Linked DNA regions of Bombyx mori. The main gene of each other region encodes a partner of the protein of the gene in region 2 in a complex. Links are inferred from orthologs where the notes say so. Each region holds a gene or a part of one and is shown on either strand. Other genes may lie near its edges. The genes, in order: adrenodoxin-like protein 1, mitochondrial; NADH dehydrogenase; LYR motif-containing protein 4.

Region 1 (5,373 bases), on a different chromosome or scaffold from region 2:
TTTGTTACTAATTATCTACGCATTATTAGAAAGAGCTGAGCCATCTTGTGTAATATACATTACGGATTCCTAAAAAACTTGACGTATCATTCATTTCATGTTAGCAAAAGTATATTGTCTTCAACTTTAAATACAACATTCACTTTTCAGCCCCTCGGAACGATAACTGGACTGTATTCACTGTGCTTCGTTTTGCTCACACGTTTCTTTATCAGTAACTTCATAAATAAATTATGCTTTCTTCATTTCTAATACCACCAGTATTTAAAATTAATGTGGCTTAGGTTTATGTCCGTCCACGTAAAAGTTCCTAGTTGCTTTCGGTAATTGTATTACCATACCTTCCAATTCTTTTGTTAAAACAATTTGACAACCTGCAAATAAAAAAAAATTACTTGGATTGGCAGCCTCAGATTTGGGCCCAGTATCTAAATAATACTAGAAAAAAAATGGGAAAAAAGGAGGCAAATGCAAACTTTACAACTGTTTTTTTTAAATTGCACTCATTGTAATGAAATTAAAAGCTGTGCTGTCTCACTATCTTGAGGGAGTGCGGAGGGTCATCCTTATCCTTATCCTTCAAAATGACGAGTTGGTATTTGAAGCAGTAATGCGTTTCGGTATAAAGGGTGGGGTAGCCGTTGTAACTATAGTGAGACCTTAGAACTTATATCTCAAGGTGGGTGGCGCATTTACATTGTAGATGTCTATGGGCTCCAGTAACCACTTAACACCAGGTGGGCTGTGAGCTCGTCCAACCATCTAAGCAATAAAAAATATTGCGATTTATCTAGTAAAACGTTAAACACTTTACACTAAACGCTGAAAAGGGTCAGAATTAACATGCTACCACTCTCTATTGCATAGACAGGTGAACGAATTACGGCCCACTTAGTGTTAAGTGGTTACCAGATCCAGAACATTACAATGCGAATACTTCCACCATCACACCCTTTATTAGGGCCATTCTGTATGTAAGTCCACATGAGTAGGTACTACCATCTTGGCTTTTCTGCCGCGAAGTAATCATACATTCTCATCAGAAAAGCTAGACTATAATTCCCGTACACGGCGCGCTCTTTTTGCTTACTTATGCTATTAGAATGTGTACCTAATCTAGAATTTTCTTTGAGAAACGGAGCCATATCTAACAGATCATCTTCTTTCTCTTCCGATGGCGGGAGCTTATCTAAGTAATCGTGAGGAATGTATACGTGGCAAGTTGTGCACGCCAATGAAGCTTCACATGCACCTGTAATTAATAAGTATGGTTAACTTATGGATACATACTATTTTACTAACAAATAAATATTTACTAACAATCACGCCACGTTAACTGGTCCCGTGATAAGTTCGTAAAGAACTTGTGTTACAGGTACCAGATAAGGGAAATAAATGTAAGATTTTTATTATACACATACATAATATATTAAATATACATCCATAACCCTGGAAAAGACATTTATATTTATCATACAAATATCTTCCCTTGGCGGGATTCGAACCCGCGACCCCCTTGTGTAGTGACCATGTCACTTACCACTACACCAGACGGCCGTTTGACCATGTCACTTACCACTACACCAGACGGACGTATACTACTATACTATTGTGAGTAATTATCCAAAGCCCACATGCATACCTAATGTTATGTGTTAAGAGATTACTGGACTGGACAAAACAATTAACATGTAAGGTACAAAGTAATCTTTTTTTAAACTTTAATTTCATTATTGTAACTTGACTGGCTGGATTCAGATTATGGTGTTGAATGATACCGTGTCATAGAAAGAACAATAATAATTGAAGTAAAACACTACAAACCTTCCATAGGAATCTCATATCTATGTGCTAAATATAAAATGTTATCACCAACTTTCCCTTTAACATTTATTTTAACTCCATCTTTATCAACATATACAACGTTCACACTGAAATATAAATTATTAATAATAATAACTAGGAACAAATGAAGCATTTTTTTTTTATTGCTTAGATGTGTGGACGAGCTCAGACGGTGTTAAGTGGTTACTGGAGCCCATGGACATCTACAACGTAAATGCGCCACACACCTTGAGTTCTAAGGTTCCTAAGGTCCTGGCTCCTAAATTACTGGTGGTAGAACCTCTTGTGAGTCCGTGCGGGTAGGTACCACCACCCTGCCTATTTGTGCCGTGAAGCAGTAATGCGTTTCGGTTTGAAGGGTGGGGCAGCCTTTGTAACTATACTTGAGAACTTAGAAGTTATATCTCAAGGTGGGTGGCGCATTTACGTTGTAGATGTCTATGGGCTCCAGTAACCACTTAACACCAGGTGGGCTGTGAGCTTGTCCTCTCATATAAGCAACAAAAAAAAAGAAACTTAGATTTACTATGTGATTTACACAAAGTCTTTAGTGATGTTTAGCACCATGTATTGCCAATTTCTCTAAGTACTTGTATCAATTTGAAGATTAACATAGCCATGCAATCTACACCATTGTTCATTAAACAAAGAAAATCTTTTTCTTAACTAACAGAAGAGAAAAAGGGTACTTCTTTTTTTGCCTATTTACACATATATTATACAAGAGATAACCTTTATTATCTGTGCTTTAATTAGTAGCTTGATTAATAAACTTATTATGGCTACATTTATAAAAACAAGTTTTAATCTCATCTCATGCATAAATAAAATATGTTTCCTTTTAAATCATATTAAAATGTATGTGTGACTTTAGTATATTAATAATGTATGACTTTAGTATATTAATAATGCAATATAATAATATTTACTAGATATAAACATTTTTTAAATTTATATCTATGAATACTGAAAACATAACAAAAATTATATCATATTCTATTAGCTTGTTTATTTTTTTGTGTTTAGTATATAAAGTACATAATTTTTTAATTTACTGAAGATAGTAAATATAATCATAACCTGTTGAAGAAACTGAAATTTCAAAAAAACTAGTATAAAAAATATGAAAAATAAGAATGGTATTGTTTTGTTTTGATTCGATCAAGGCCCCGTTTAAGGTTTTCAATTGTAACTACTCTTTAGATTTTCTAGATAATATATGTAACAAAATTCCTTTCAGATTTCGCTTGTGGCGATACTCACACTTCATCTTCAGACTTCGGATCTTGCCATTCGTATTCTCCGTGTTTTAAATCTGCCGATAACATTTTAATTAATATTTCTTGTTGTCAGCACTAAACATATAACGCTATGTAAATACTCACGATTCGTAGTGTGAATTCTCTTGTTTTGTACAATAAACGATCGTCGCAAATCACTCAGTCTATTACACGAGATAAGTCGTTTAATTGATAATTGGAGCATGATACACAACGTGCCTTTGTTGAGAAAACTTCGAATCAAAATAAAATAATTCGGTTTTTGGTTATGTACATTGAATATTTTTCAGTCAGTAGGTGTAGGTAGGTACCTACCTATGAAGTTGACATATGTGGACAATAGAGACTTATTGACTGTCGTCAGCTGATATTATTATATCAGTCTGTGGCTGATTGTAGTGTAGGTCATAGGTAGGTATACTTAGCCTTTGGCAGCTCTCTACTACCATTGATTTATAGGTATAGTCTGTGATGAAAGAAAGCCCGCAAAAATTAAAGGACTTTTTGGCGGGAACGTGAGTAGTGAAGTTGTGTGTTTGTTTTATTTTGTCTATTTAGTGTTTCTTCAGGTTTAAATGTGTAATAACGGTGGTTTATTAACTGTTTAATATCTGTGAAAGTGCACAAATGTGGGAAAATGAAACAAAGCCGCTGGACGTAACTTCTCGGGATCCTCCAAAAAGTCCACTGAAAAAATCTCAGTAAATGACCACCATTTTACTGAGATTATTCATCCCATATCATCTCATTTCATTTAATTTCATCCCAGTTGATTAATGTCTTAAATTAATCATCTTGAATTCATTTCATTTCACCCCATATTATCATTTTTCATAAAAAGAAGAATATTAATTAAAATAAGACATGACTGAAAAGTCTTAGTTACCAGGTCATAAAATCCCTTAAAAAAAAGCAGTAAAATTACAATCCAATTTTTTTAATTTAAATTAATATACATAGGTACATATATATTCTCACTTCATGTTAAATACTATATATTAATTGCGTTGTTTGACATAACATCGGCCGGTACGTGATACGTCAACAAACTCGCAAAGGTCAAAACGTGATTGAATAAAAACTTCACTGTCCAAAATATTTTAAGACGATAAGCTTCGTTCCTCTCAATAATAATAAAATTGATTTCTTAGTTTAACCTAAGATTGAGATTTCAGTGTGATAGATAAAACAACACAAGCTCACTCTCTCTGTCCAAAATGCTAGTGACGTATTAATTTTAAACATATAACTTCTATGTGAATTAATAGTTTAAGCTGTAACATTTCAGCAGTCGCCTCTATACAAAACCCTTTGGTTTAATTAGCAATTTTTTGTAAAGCTTGCAATAATAAAAATTAAATGTCATAATTGTCATATTATTCAAGCGTCAATCATATGATGACTTCTATACTATAAGGCCATTTTGTATAAAATATTAATGAATTGATAATAAAATATTGATTTTTATGATAAAGGCTTAGGTAGTTCAATTAAAAAAAATGTTAAATATGATCATTTTACGCAAACATGCGTGATTATTACTGATAATCTTACAACAACACGTGATTTTTAATGAAAAACATTGCTGATATATTCTTATTTTTTGGTGAGTGACGTGTTTAATGCATTCGGCATTCGCGCCTTTAAATTTGAGCGATAGGTTCTACATTCTTAGAAAACGTTGTTTTAACCCTCTGAAATCAATATTTATAAATTGAGGATAGTATGTTTTATTATTATTTACTGGTCACTTATTTTATGTCGTAAAAAAATGTAAACTAAAATCGTTAATATATTTGACTATGTACTTTAAACAGTAATAGGAAATTGATTGTTTTGGAAAATATAGTAATGTTATTCATAAATCTCTTGTGGAAAACAACAAAGTGCTCGATTTGCATTTCTTCCCACAATAGTTCAGATTTCAAGTTTTTATTGTGTTCGTAAATGAAACGTCCAGTTGTGTAACTTATATTACATAGTCCTAGGACTAAATGTGTTTTAAAATTAAAATACAATGATGGACGAGATACTTTCAAGTATTTAACCTATTTATCTTGCTTTCCCTTAGTTCTGGGGCGGTCTTCTGCAACATTAATTCACATTTAATTCTGTGGGGAGCTGTCACTGTTGCTCATGAATTGTTCATTAAAAACGTCAAGGGCCTAGGCAAGCTATTACAATGGATACTCAATTTTATTGTTCTTACAATATATTAAAGACTGGCACAGATAGCATATTATAATCC
Region 2 (4,471 bases):
TATTATTAAAAAAGTGATAATCCACCGATTGTGTTGACCCCTGTCTCCTGATATTCCAAATAAAGTTGTATAAAATATGATAAGGCCCTCTGTTTTATTGAATTATTCTAACGTGAGATCACCAATAATATATTACTGATGAGGTTTTTTTTTTGATAACGCCACTTGTCATGTCTTTAAAGCGGTTAGTTGCCTTCAATAGTATTATTATTCGCCAATAGATGTCGGGAAGAGTTGATTATTGAAAACACGAATATAACCACATTTTCTGAAAATAAATCGTACCTAGATTGATTTATCGCCCCCGAAATCCCCTGTATATTAAATTTTATGAAGATTGAGCCGTTGAAGAAGTTGTTATATATATTAATATACAAGAATTGCTCGCTTATAGGTATAAGATAAAATTAAATAATAATTATTATATATAATATATGGATAAAAATAGGAACAGCGATTTAGTACTAGAGATAAAATATTTATTTTTATTGGATGATTCTATTCTATTGTATGATATTATTTTATATTCCTGTTAAAGGTACAAAAAAACCCATAAGACTAGAAAAGGTATACCCTAAACCCTGACCTATTTAATGAAATATTATCAGACAATGACTTTTAACTTCATTCAAAAAACATCGCTTTAAAAAAAAGTGATTTCAAAATCATGACTTCATTTTTGGGAAAATAGTTTTCCTCCAAGTGAAGCTAAACACCAATCACAACGAATGATGCCATATTTCAGTATTTCTGTGTTATGCTACAATCTATGATCAGTTAAGTTGAACACCACTGCTCATCTACTCTGCAGGGCACAGAATCTATATGAAATTGTCATTTATAAGATAGTATAAAACTAATTAAGATTTGGTATTTTAATGAAAATTTTGTCTTTCAAGAGTACTAGCATGCTTAAGTTTATTGTTTGAGTGACTTCCTGAGTTCACCTGGCTTTTCTGGAAAAACAGGATCACTGCTCCAGGCATGTTAGCAATTGCCAATATTCTGGCAAGAGGAAGGCAATGTTATCAAGTATGCACTGCTGTCCTTCATGTCATGTCCCATCATAATCACCCAACATCTTTCTTCAAACAAGGTTTGAAATAAGTTCTTATTTAGTAGCTTTATGTGTGTCATTGTCAAGATCCATTAGTAATGGTAGCCACTTACCATCATATAGGACATAGCCCACCTTGAAATACAAAATACTCCAGCAGTTTTGAAAATCAATAAAAATTAATGACAAATAATAGTACAGATTTAAGGCATTTTCTCTTTTAAAAAAAAGGGACTCTCGAGTCAAATGCTTATTTAGCATGAATTATGAATGAAATAAAATGTGATCTATTTACTATTTTATTATCAGATAATGTACCACCAGATCAAATGAAATACAAATGATCTATTCTAACAGGCATATAATTAAAAACAAAACTTACACTTTTTACACAATGGTCTGAAGTGCACTGATAACGTTTGTGTAAAATTAAAACAAAAGTTGTCTAATCACTAAACAATACTTTTAGGCCAGTTGTAAATTAAGAAAATGCAATTTTGTGTTTGGTTTGTTATCGTTTCAAAAATACAACTGGTCCAAAATTATGAAGTTTATATTTTTTTTATTATTCATAAATATCTTCCTTGTCAGCAATGTATTGGACAATGTCTTTTGGTCTGACCAGTCTCTCTGCATCACCATCCGGTATCTCAAATCCAAATTCATCTTCCATTGCCATTATGACCTCAACATGGTCCAGTGAGTCAAGACCCAGATCATTCATGAAGTGGCTATCTACAGTCAACTGAAAAATAAGAGAAAAATTATTTTATATTTCTTTATCTTAGAATAAAACTTTATGCCCCACCAGTTTTGCACTGACTGTAATAAAATTTCCACAATCTAACCTGTTCAGGGTTAATTTTGTCATAAAGTTGAAGTACAAGCAGTACTCTACTTTTTATAAGGTCTAAGGTGAGGGGAGGGCCACCGCTGTACTTGCGGATACCATGTTTCTCGTTCTGAAACAAAATATTTCTAAATGAATATTATGTACCTGACTAGCACTGAGTTTGTCGTAAGCCTTGCACACTTTCAGGACTCGCTCCTCGATTTCCTGAACCGAAAGCTTAGACTGCACGCCTGTCGAGTACCGATGTGATTGTGGTACCTAAACAGTTCGAGTTATCACTGTAATTTTGTTATGCAATAATAATTGAGGTTATATTGATTTTGTTTAAAACAGACTCGAGAAATTTATAATAATATAATGTTAAGGAAATATTTCATTGTAATATAATGATCACTATACGGCCCAAAATGCATTTTATTATATCAGTAGATAAGAGTCTTACCCCATTCTGAAGGGCCTGACTTTTGTATATTTTGACAGCGGCTTTAATTGTGCTGAACTTTTGCTGCAACGCAACGGTCGAAAGACGACATGTTACGGACGTTCTATACGTTGTTGATCTCCGTAATAGACCACCGAAAGCACTTCGGAAAATATTCGCAGCAGCCATTTCTTCAAGCTCACGAAATGCTTTATTTTCTTTCAGCAATTCTCTCTCATCGAATCCGAAAGCCTGGGTTGCCAAAACCTTTAATACAACTGCAATCGATAAACTGTGTCAGCTGTCACGTATAGGTACATAAAGAGCCAAAACATTTAGCTCAGACAGGTATTTATTTTTTTCAAAACAGAGTTAATTTAATTTATTGAAGTCGTCTTGGCCTAAGGTATAAGATGCCCGCGATGCATTCAAATGCCGCAGGTAGGTACCAGTTTTTCCAACGAAATATTTACTAAACAGTTAATTATTTACGATTGACTTCTACGGTGAAGGAATAACATCGTGTAATAAGAATCAAACCCGCATTTATAATTTGCGTAATTACTGGTGGTAGGACGCCTTGTGAGTCCTCACGGGTTGATACCACCACCCTACCTCTTTCTGCCATTAAGCAGTAGGTGTCATGATCAATCGATTCCGACCGAAAAATGGATTTGTCCTACTATCCCTACTATATAGGATGTCCCTACTATATAGGTATATGTAAAGGCGTTAGAACCAGCTAGGTACATATATTAATCAATTCATTCAACTCATTTCAAACAATGAAAGACATAAATGGATCCACATTACTTGGTGTTTGATGCTCAAAAACCTAAAAGAAATTTCGAACTTATTATGAAGACTGCTACTAAATTTTACATTTTCTTAAATTTTATCGACAATTTCATAAAATAATGTAATGATGTCATTTTTGATTACTGTTGATGGCTAGTTAATGTATTGACAAAATGAACGTGTAGATTCCATAGACCTATATAGTAGTAGATTCTAACTTAATTCATAGATAAGTCATTGAATATATAAGTCATAGATCTAAGTAAATACTCTGTGCCAAAAGTGACGTTTTTTAATTTATTGTTTTGTGTGAACGTATGTTGATATGAAGTTATTGTTTTCAAATTAAATAATAAAAGACAAGATGGGTAATGCTGACACAAAATTAAACTTTCGAAAGGCGGTTGTCCAGTTAACTTCAAAGTCGCAGGTAATTGAGCACCAATTCGAAGAAAAATAATGAAATAAAAATCAGTCTAGTTTCATCGATTTATGTATTTTGCAGCCTATAGATGCGTTGGACGATAGCTTCTGGGATCAGTTCTGGTCAGAGAGCGTAACCAACGTACAAGATGTATTCGCATTGGTTCCCGGTGCGGAGATACGTGCCTTGCGCGAGGAATCTCCTAATAATTTAGCAACGCTGGTTTACAAGGCTGTGGAAAAACTCGTCAAGGTCGTGGACAGCAGCTGTAGGACGCAGAGAGAACAGCTGATCGGTGAGAAATTTACTGAACACCTTTTTTGCCCAAAAAAGTATCACAATTGTTTCGTCCACTCTCAGGTCTACATCATCAAAATGCAGCTGAAAACAATATTTCTGTCTCAAGTTCTTTCTCAAAATAACAATTAAAAAATACTATAAAAATTTTGACCAAGACCATACCATACAGATTAGTAATACAATAGTTTGTAAAGAAAAAATCACTTTTTCTTTCTTTCAGCATTGAACTGTGCACTTTCTTTCTTTCAGCATTGAACTGTGCACGTCTTCTTACCAGAGTATTACCATATATGTTCGAGGAACCCGAGTGGCACAGCTTCTTTTGGTCATCGCTCCCGGCTGCAGCTGAGAATGACTCTGTACCATTAGCACAATCACTGATAAATGCCGTTTGTGTAAGGGAATGTTTGCTTTATTTTGCTAATTTTATAAGACCCTTGTAAGTATTTTCTGGTGTTAGTAGATATTTCAATCTCACATTCCCATTTATCTATATTTGGGTTTTAGTTAATAATAAACTACATAGCCCATTAAAACAGTAGAAAGATAAAAATAGTGGATTAGTAGGAATACTACACTTAGGAAAATTTTGGTCATGTAAAGTAATCTGTACATGAT
Region 3 (5,636 bases), on a different chromosome or scaffold from region 2:
AGGGTCACAAAGTTTTTTTTTATAGCTTAGATGAGTGGGCGAGCTCACAGCCCACCTGGTGTTAAGTGGTTATTGGAGCCCATAGACATCTAGAACGTATATGCGCCACCCACCTTGAGGTGTAAGTTCTAAGGTCTCAAGTATAGTTACAACGACTGCCCCGCCCTTCAAACCGAAACGCATCACTGCTTCACGGCAGAAATAGGCAGGGCAGTGGTACGAACCCGTGCGGAATCACAAGTTTACCATGAGATATACGCAAATCATAATTTTGCGGGTTTGATTTTTACTACACAATGGTATTCCTTCACCGTGCAAGTCGATCGTGAACATTTGTCAAGTACGTATTTCATTAGAAAAATTGGTACCCGCCTGCGGGATTCGAACACCGGTACTATCGCTCAACACGAATGCACCCAGACGTCTTATCCATTAGGCCACGACGACGACATCTTATGTATTCGTAGAGTATGTAAATAAAAAACTAACACACGCGACTAATTAAAATTCTGTAAATAGTAAAGTTGATTCTTCAATAGTTTCTCAATTGTTGTTGTACTACTTAATGACTGTCCCACCCTTCAAACCGCAACACATGGTTGCTTCAATTCAGAAATAGGCAATGTGGAACTGACGTTACTCCTTATCATCAGTAAATGCCATTACTGGCCATTCTCTGCTAAACTCTTTAGTACCTTATATACGGACCTCGGAAAGAGTCTAATTTATAATAACTGCAAGTCAACATCAGCACACAGCCTATTTCCAGTATTTCCAAAAAAGTTAGATTATCATCTTTAATTATCACACCTTCTCCCATTCGATTAGGTTAAATTATTTTATGATGCATACCTGTGTATATGCATACCACATATACATTTAATTGTACTTTTAGTAACAAAACCAATTATAATTATTTAAATGAAAGTTCTGAGACCCCTACAGATTTAATTTGAATAAAAAACTCTGCATTATACTATTTATTAGTCAAATGTACATTATACATTACAGATGTTTCATAATAATATACAATTATAAACATGAAGCTACCGCAGATTTTCGATAACAAGTTTTTCTGTTTTATACATATTTCCAATGGCTGCCTGTAAAACAAGATGATTTCATATATGAATTAATCACAATAGTTTAACCTTTTAGTGCAGTTAGATCAGAGGTGGGGTGTAGTGGTAGTTTTCCAATTACAGAGCATAATGCGACTCAGTGACGCACAATGCCAAATTATGCTGAAGCTTAATTGGAACGTGAATTAGTTTTGAAATGCATCAGCAGAGTGCGCTAAGTTAGCACAGTCTTAATTAACATTGATTATTTCTAAGAAACTACGACGAAACGAAAGCCTTACAATTTTTTTCAACATTAAATAATATTACTAACGATAATATAAACAAAATTTCGATCAATGCCAACTTAAAGAAAAAACACTTGTCAATTTTCTGTCACTGAGTCGGTATCGATTGCGAGTATCACGCGAGAGCAGTACTTTTGAGAGTGCTCAATTGTGCTTCGAGTTGCTGCAGTTGGAACATTCAACGTTGAGCATTATGCCGCATAATGAGCTCTTGTGCTGTAATTGGAAAACTACCAGAGTGAGCCTGAATAGATTGGTACCATAATCTCTCCCAGCTCTCTCAGCTCAGCTCGGCAACCACATTTTCTTATTTGAATGAGAAAAAGATCAGTTGTTTAATATTTTGATCAAATCAACATTTCAAACCCATCACAGTAGGGATGAAGTATACTTTATTTTCATTAATAGAAATTTTAGAAAATTGGTTCTCCTTTCCTGCTCCTGAAGACCAACACTGCAAAATGCACTGCAATAAGACTAAGGACAAATTGTAAAAAGCAAAAGGTGGCAGATTTCCCATTGTAATGTTTATAGACTACCGTTACCACTTAACTGATGTGATATAAAGGAAACCAAGATATAAATATAATACTTTTCTAAATAAAATATAAGCTAATTATCACATGTGTTTGATAACATAAATGAAACATATTCACACACCTGTCTCCTGATAACATTTAAATTTTCTTTTCCAAATTCAAACTCTTTCTTCACAATCTTAACATCAGACACATTTTTATTATCTTTAAAAGCATCTCGAATTCTTCTTAGTGCGTATGCTCTGAAAGGATGAATGGTTAAAATTTAGCATTTTTTGATAAATTGTTGATTAATTAATTCATAATTTATTGAGGCTTTGAAAATCTCGTTCATTTTAATTACTGTAACTCTGATGCTGTAGTTATTAATTGAGGCTGATTTTTTTATTTAATTATCTAATTAAGTTTGCTTAAAATGTGTCTTGTCCGCCTAAAAAACTAAAATAACAATTTAAATGCATGAAAATGATAATCATTTATAGCATCATCATCAGTCTACATAATTTTACTGGACATAGGCCATCCTCAAGCTTCACCACAGTGACTGATCCTAAGCTGTTCAAATCTGACAGATTCTCACAACTTCAACATACTGTGGGTCTACCTTCTGGAAGGATTACTTGTACTACAGATTTTGGTGTAGAGTTGCAATAGTGACCATTTTTTCTATGAGCTATATGCCCCTCACAGTGCTAATTTAAACTCGTTGATTACTTATCATAATGAGTAATTAATATTAATGAAGTGCATTAATATCACATTCATCATTCCATTTACCTGACTCATTTCAATTATTATCCAAATAATTGATTCCAAACAAGCTTGATAATTTTTGATTGCGTTGAAATTCATTTTTTTCGCTTTTTTTTTATAGCAAGGGTGGACGAGCTCACAGCCCACCTGGTGTTAAGTGGTTACCGGAGCACATAGACATCAACAATGTAAAGGCCGCCACCCACCTTGAGATATAAAGTCTAAGGTCTCAGTATAGTTACAATGGCTGCCCCAGCCCCTTCAAACCGAAACGCATTACTGATTCATGGCAGAAATAGGCGGAGTGGTGGTACCTACCCGTGCGGACTCTGAAGACGTCCTACCACCAGTAAATACATTTACTTAAGCCTAATAGAATTTGGTAGCCACATATCATGACAAAATTAAAAATGTATTGACTTTGTTTGTAATTTAAGAAGGTAACAAAATTATGCTTTTGTGTTCACTAGTAACGTTGGAGTAAATCTTTCATTTGTTTTAGGTTATATAATGGTGCAAAACATTACCTGAAATTATAGTTAGGGAACTTCTGGGATTCTCTGAGAAGCAATTTATAGAGAGATAATATTTGTATTTTAGGTATCGCGCCAGACATTTCGCTTTATTATTCGACAAGCTTATTAAAAACTATAATATATTGATAAAAGGTAATACCCAATGATATTTGTCTTACGAATTGTTATGACCAGTTATGACATTACACTCCAGTTTTTTTATGTAAACAAAAATTAGACGTTCCGTATTACACGGTGTTAAACCTTTATTTGTTATAAAATAAATTTATCGTGCAAAACTTTTGAATTGTGATAATAAATGTAAAAGAAGGTAAATTCGTAAGTTTCGCGTCTGGGTAGAAGTTTCAATTCGACTTTGATTATTAGTCACAATTTACACTAGTAAGGATGTAAATTTAAGTAGCCTTTGTCTAGCTACACTACAGGATACCGAAAAGTGTACATTGTCAATTTGGTCTAACGTCAGTAACATCTGATTTGACATTCCCGATGTTTTAATAACATTTGCGATCTGATAATTACAAATTCAAATATTGTTATGCTCGTCAGCCGTCATTCTAAGACATATATAGGTACTTACTAAATTAAACAGTGAGTTAAAAGTTTGATGAAATTTAAATTATTTTAACCAAATTATCCAAAGGAAACAAACAACAAAAGTACTTTGTTTACAAGACTAGCGAAGAAAATTGTCATATTTTTGTCAAAGAAGTTAGGATTTCTAGACCATTTTTAAAAATTCACTTGCCTGCACATTTTGTTGTGTAACTTAGCGGAAGATGATTACTAAACATGTTTTGTATGTAAATCACTTAATATGTGTTATGTCAAGTTATGAAAGTTAGCAAAGGAATACAATTTACATACCATGTAACACAAATATTACATACCATGAAATGCCTAATATTAACTTTAATTTTTAAAAACAATTTTCAAAACTAAAAAGAAATAAAGAGACTATTTCGCTTGGTCATTGAAATAATTATCAGGTTAAAATCTAAAATTCTAAACAGATACTATAATAATAAAAAACAAATTAATGATGAAAATTGAATATCATTAATTAAGTTGCAATGGAAATTAAATTAAATATTATCCATAGTAAAAAAGTAAAGTAATTATATAAGAAGTAGTTTAATATTAATGTATTTGTAATTCAATCCTCATATCTCAAGGAATCTTGTGCTCTTTATATTCTGATTTCTTGTGTGGCCCCTGTGGTTGCTGATTAAAACAGGCAACCATGAGCCATCTGCCATCCTGGCTACTAAATTATTGATTTCAGTTCATGGAATATTCACCATCGCACAAGAATTGGCATGATGAGGAAAGATATCACGTGCACAGCGATGAGAGTCCTGTATTGTCTTACAGGTAATTAAAATTAATTGAAATGTATTAAATCTTACTGGTTCTTTTATATAGAAGTTGCATTAAACTATTATTTATTAAAATTAACATTCGTTGACATTTTAAGGAGTCTGTAAACCCTAAACAACTGAGAAAGACATGAGATGGAATTATCAAAGTTAATAATGTATTCTTAAAAACTTCAGTTATTAACTACTTTTTACTTGTGCTTATTTTAAAATTAAAATTAAAAAGTTATTTACTGCCCTTGTAGACCGATTCTCTTACCATCCACGTAATAGTGAGTGCTTACCGTAGCTAATGAATGGCATCCAAGTCACTGCCTACCGTTAGAGTATAATATGATTCTACATATATACTACAAGTTCTTGTATTTTTGCGATATATGTTGTGTATATGTTTATGATCTGTAGTTACCACTTAACATAAGATGAACTATGAATTCATCTTATCTTATTCAGATGCTCAGCCATGCAAACCGGTCACATAGCCCAGTTACAGTGCTTTAATTCTACCACAGACATGAAAAATACAAAAACTACACGCAGTACTCGAATGTCAAGAGCGTCAAGGAAGAAGTCAAAAAGAGGTCCACCTTCAGCATCCTGGCCAAATTTTTCCTGTTTAGTTCAGCGGTGATATTGTTCTGTGTGCTTATGTACATACCGGTTTATAACAAAGCGAATAATCAAATATCTAAAGGTACGTATTCAAATTAATGGTTTGGTGAGAATTAACAGATAAACATCTGGCGTCGACCAGGTTTACGGGTCGATGAAAATCGTAGGGTCACGGTAATTATTGCCACAACTGGAATATGTTGATGTCCGCAGAGAGGCCAGTGCTCTGCAGTCGGTACGAGTTGAGTGATGATGATTTACACAAACAAGCAAGGGTTCACCACTCTGATAAAGTGGCGCGACATGAGAATCATCTCATCGTGGCTGTCGGAAACTATATAGCCGATCATGCGGACCAAATGGTAAACAAACAGTCGACGTCGCCCAAAACACGTCTTTCGGATCCTACCGGTCCACGGTCCGGTGATTTTAGGTACCCCAAGCACCG

What was found.
Region 1: NADH dehydrogenase (region 2) and adrenodoxin-like protein 1, mitochondrial share a complex: the UniProt entries of both Homo sapiens proteins name them as parts of the mitochondrial core iron-sulfur cluster (ISC) complex. The link is inferred for Bombyx mori from reciprocal best matches to the Homo sapiens genes NDUFAB1 and FDX2.
Region 3: the proteins of NADH dehydrogenase (region 2) and LYR motif-containing protein 4 are in contact, whole or in part, in a crystal structure (PDB 6ODD), measured with the Homo sapiens proteins. The link is inferred for Bombyx mori from reciprocal best matches to the Homo sapiens genes NDUFAB1 and LYRM4. Residues at the interface, in NP_004994.1 of Homo sapiens: Lys92, Asp111, Ser112, Leu113, Asp114, Val116, Glu117, Met120, Glu123, Asp124, Glu129, Ile130, Asp132; in NP_065141.3 of Homo sapiens: Arg6, Leu10, Ser11, Tyr13, Arg14, Leu17, Arg18, Lys21, Arg37, Phe40, Arg41, Lys44.

The regions. Positions count from the first base shown.
Region 1 is NC_085130.1:1,947,896-1,953,268, forward strand, and holds the start of adrenodoxin-like protein 1, mitochondrial, read right to left. Parts: upstream 3,532-5,373; 5' UTR 3,331-3,531; coding exon 3,231-3,330; intron 3,161-3,230; coding exon 3,109-3,160; intron 1,932-3,108; coding exon 1,825-1,931; intron 1,253-1,824; coding exon 1,112-1,252; intron 375-1,111; coding exon 271-374; 3' UTR 1-270. UniProt on the Homo sapiens protein: Electron donor, of the core iron-sulfur cluster (ISC) assembly complex, that acts to reduce the persulfide into sulfide during [2Fe-2S] clusters assembly on the scaffolding protein ISCU.
Region 2 is NC_085114.1:14,894,887-14,899,357, forward strand, and holds NADH dehydrogenase, read right to left. Parts: upstream 2,573-4,471; 5' UTR 2,521-2,572; coding exon 2,353-2,520; intron 2,169-2,352; coding exon 2,055-2,168; intron 2,020-2,054; coding exon of another isoform or gene 1,906-2,019; intron 1,803-1,905; coding exon 1,623-1,802; 3' UTR 1,341-1,622; downstream 1-1,340. Other genes in the region: protein HID1, read left to right, coding at 3,494-3,559, 3,635-3,848, 4,103-4,248. UniProt on the Homo sapiens protein: Carrier of the growing fatty acid chain in fatty acid biosynthesis.
Region 3 is NC_085108.1:8,216,380-8,222,015, forward strand, and holds LYR motif-containing protein 4, read right to left. Parts: upstream 3,513-5,636; 5' UTR 3,278-3,512; coding exon 3,189-3,277; intron 2,151-3,188; coding exon 2,030-2,150; intron 1,104-2,029; coding exon 1,047-1,103; 3' UTR 966-1,046; downstream 1-965. Other genes in the region: uncharacterized protein LOC101737726, read left to right, coding at 4,486-4,571, 5,089-5,270.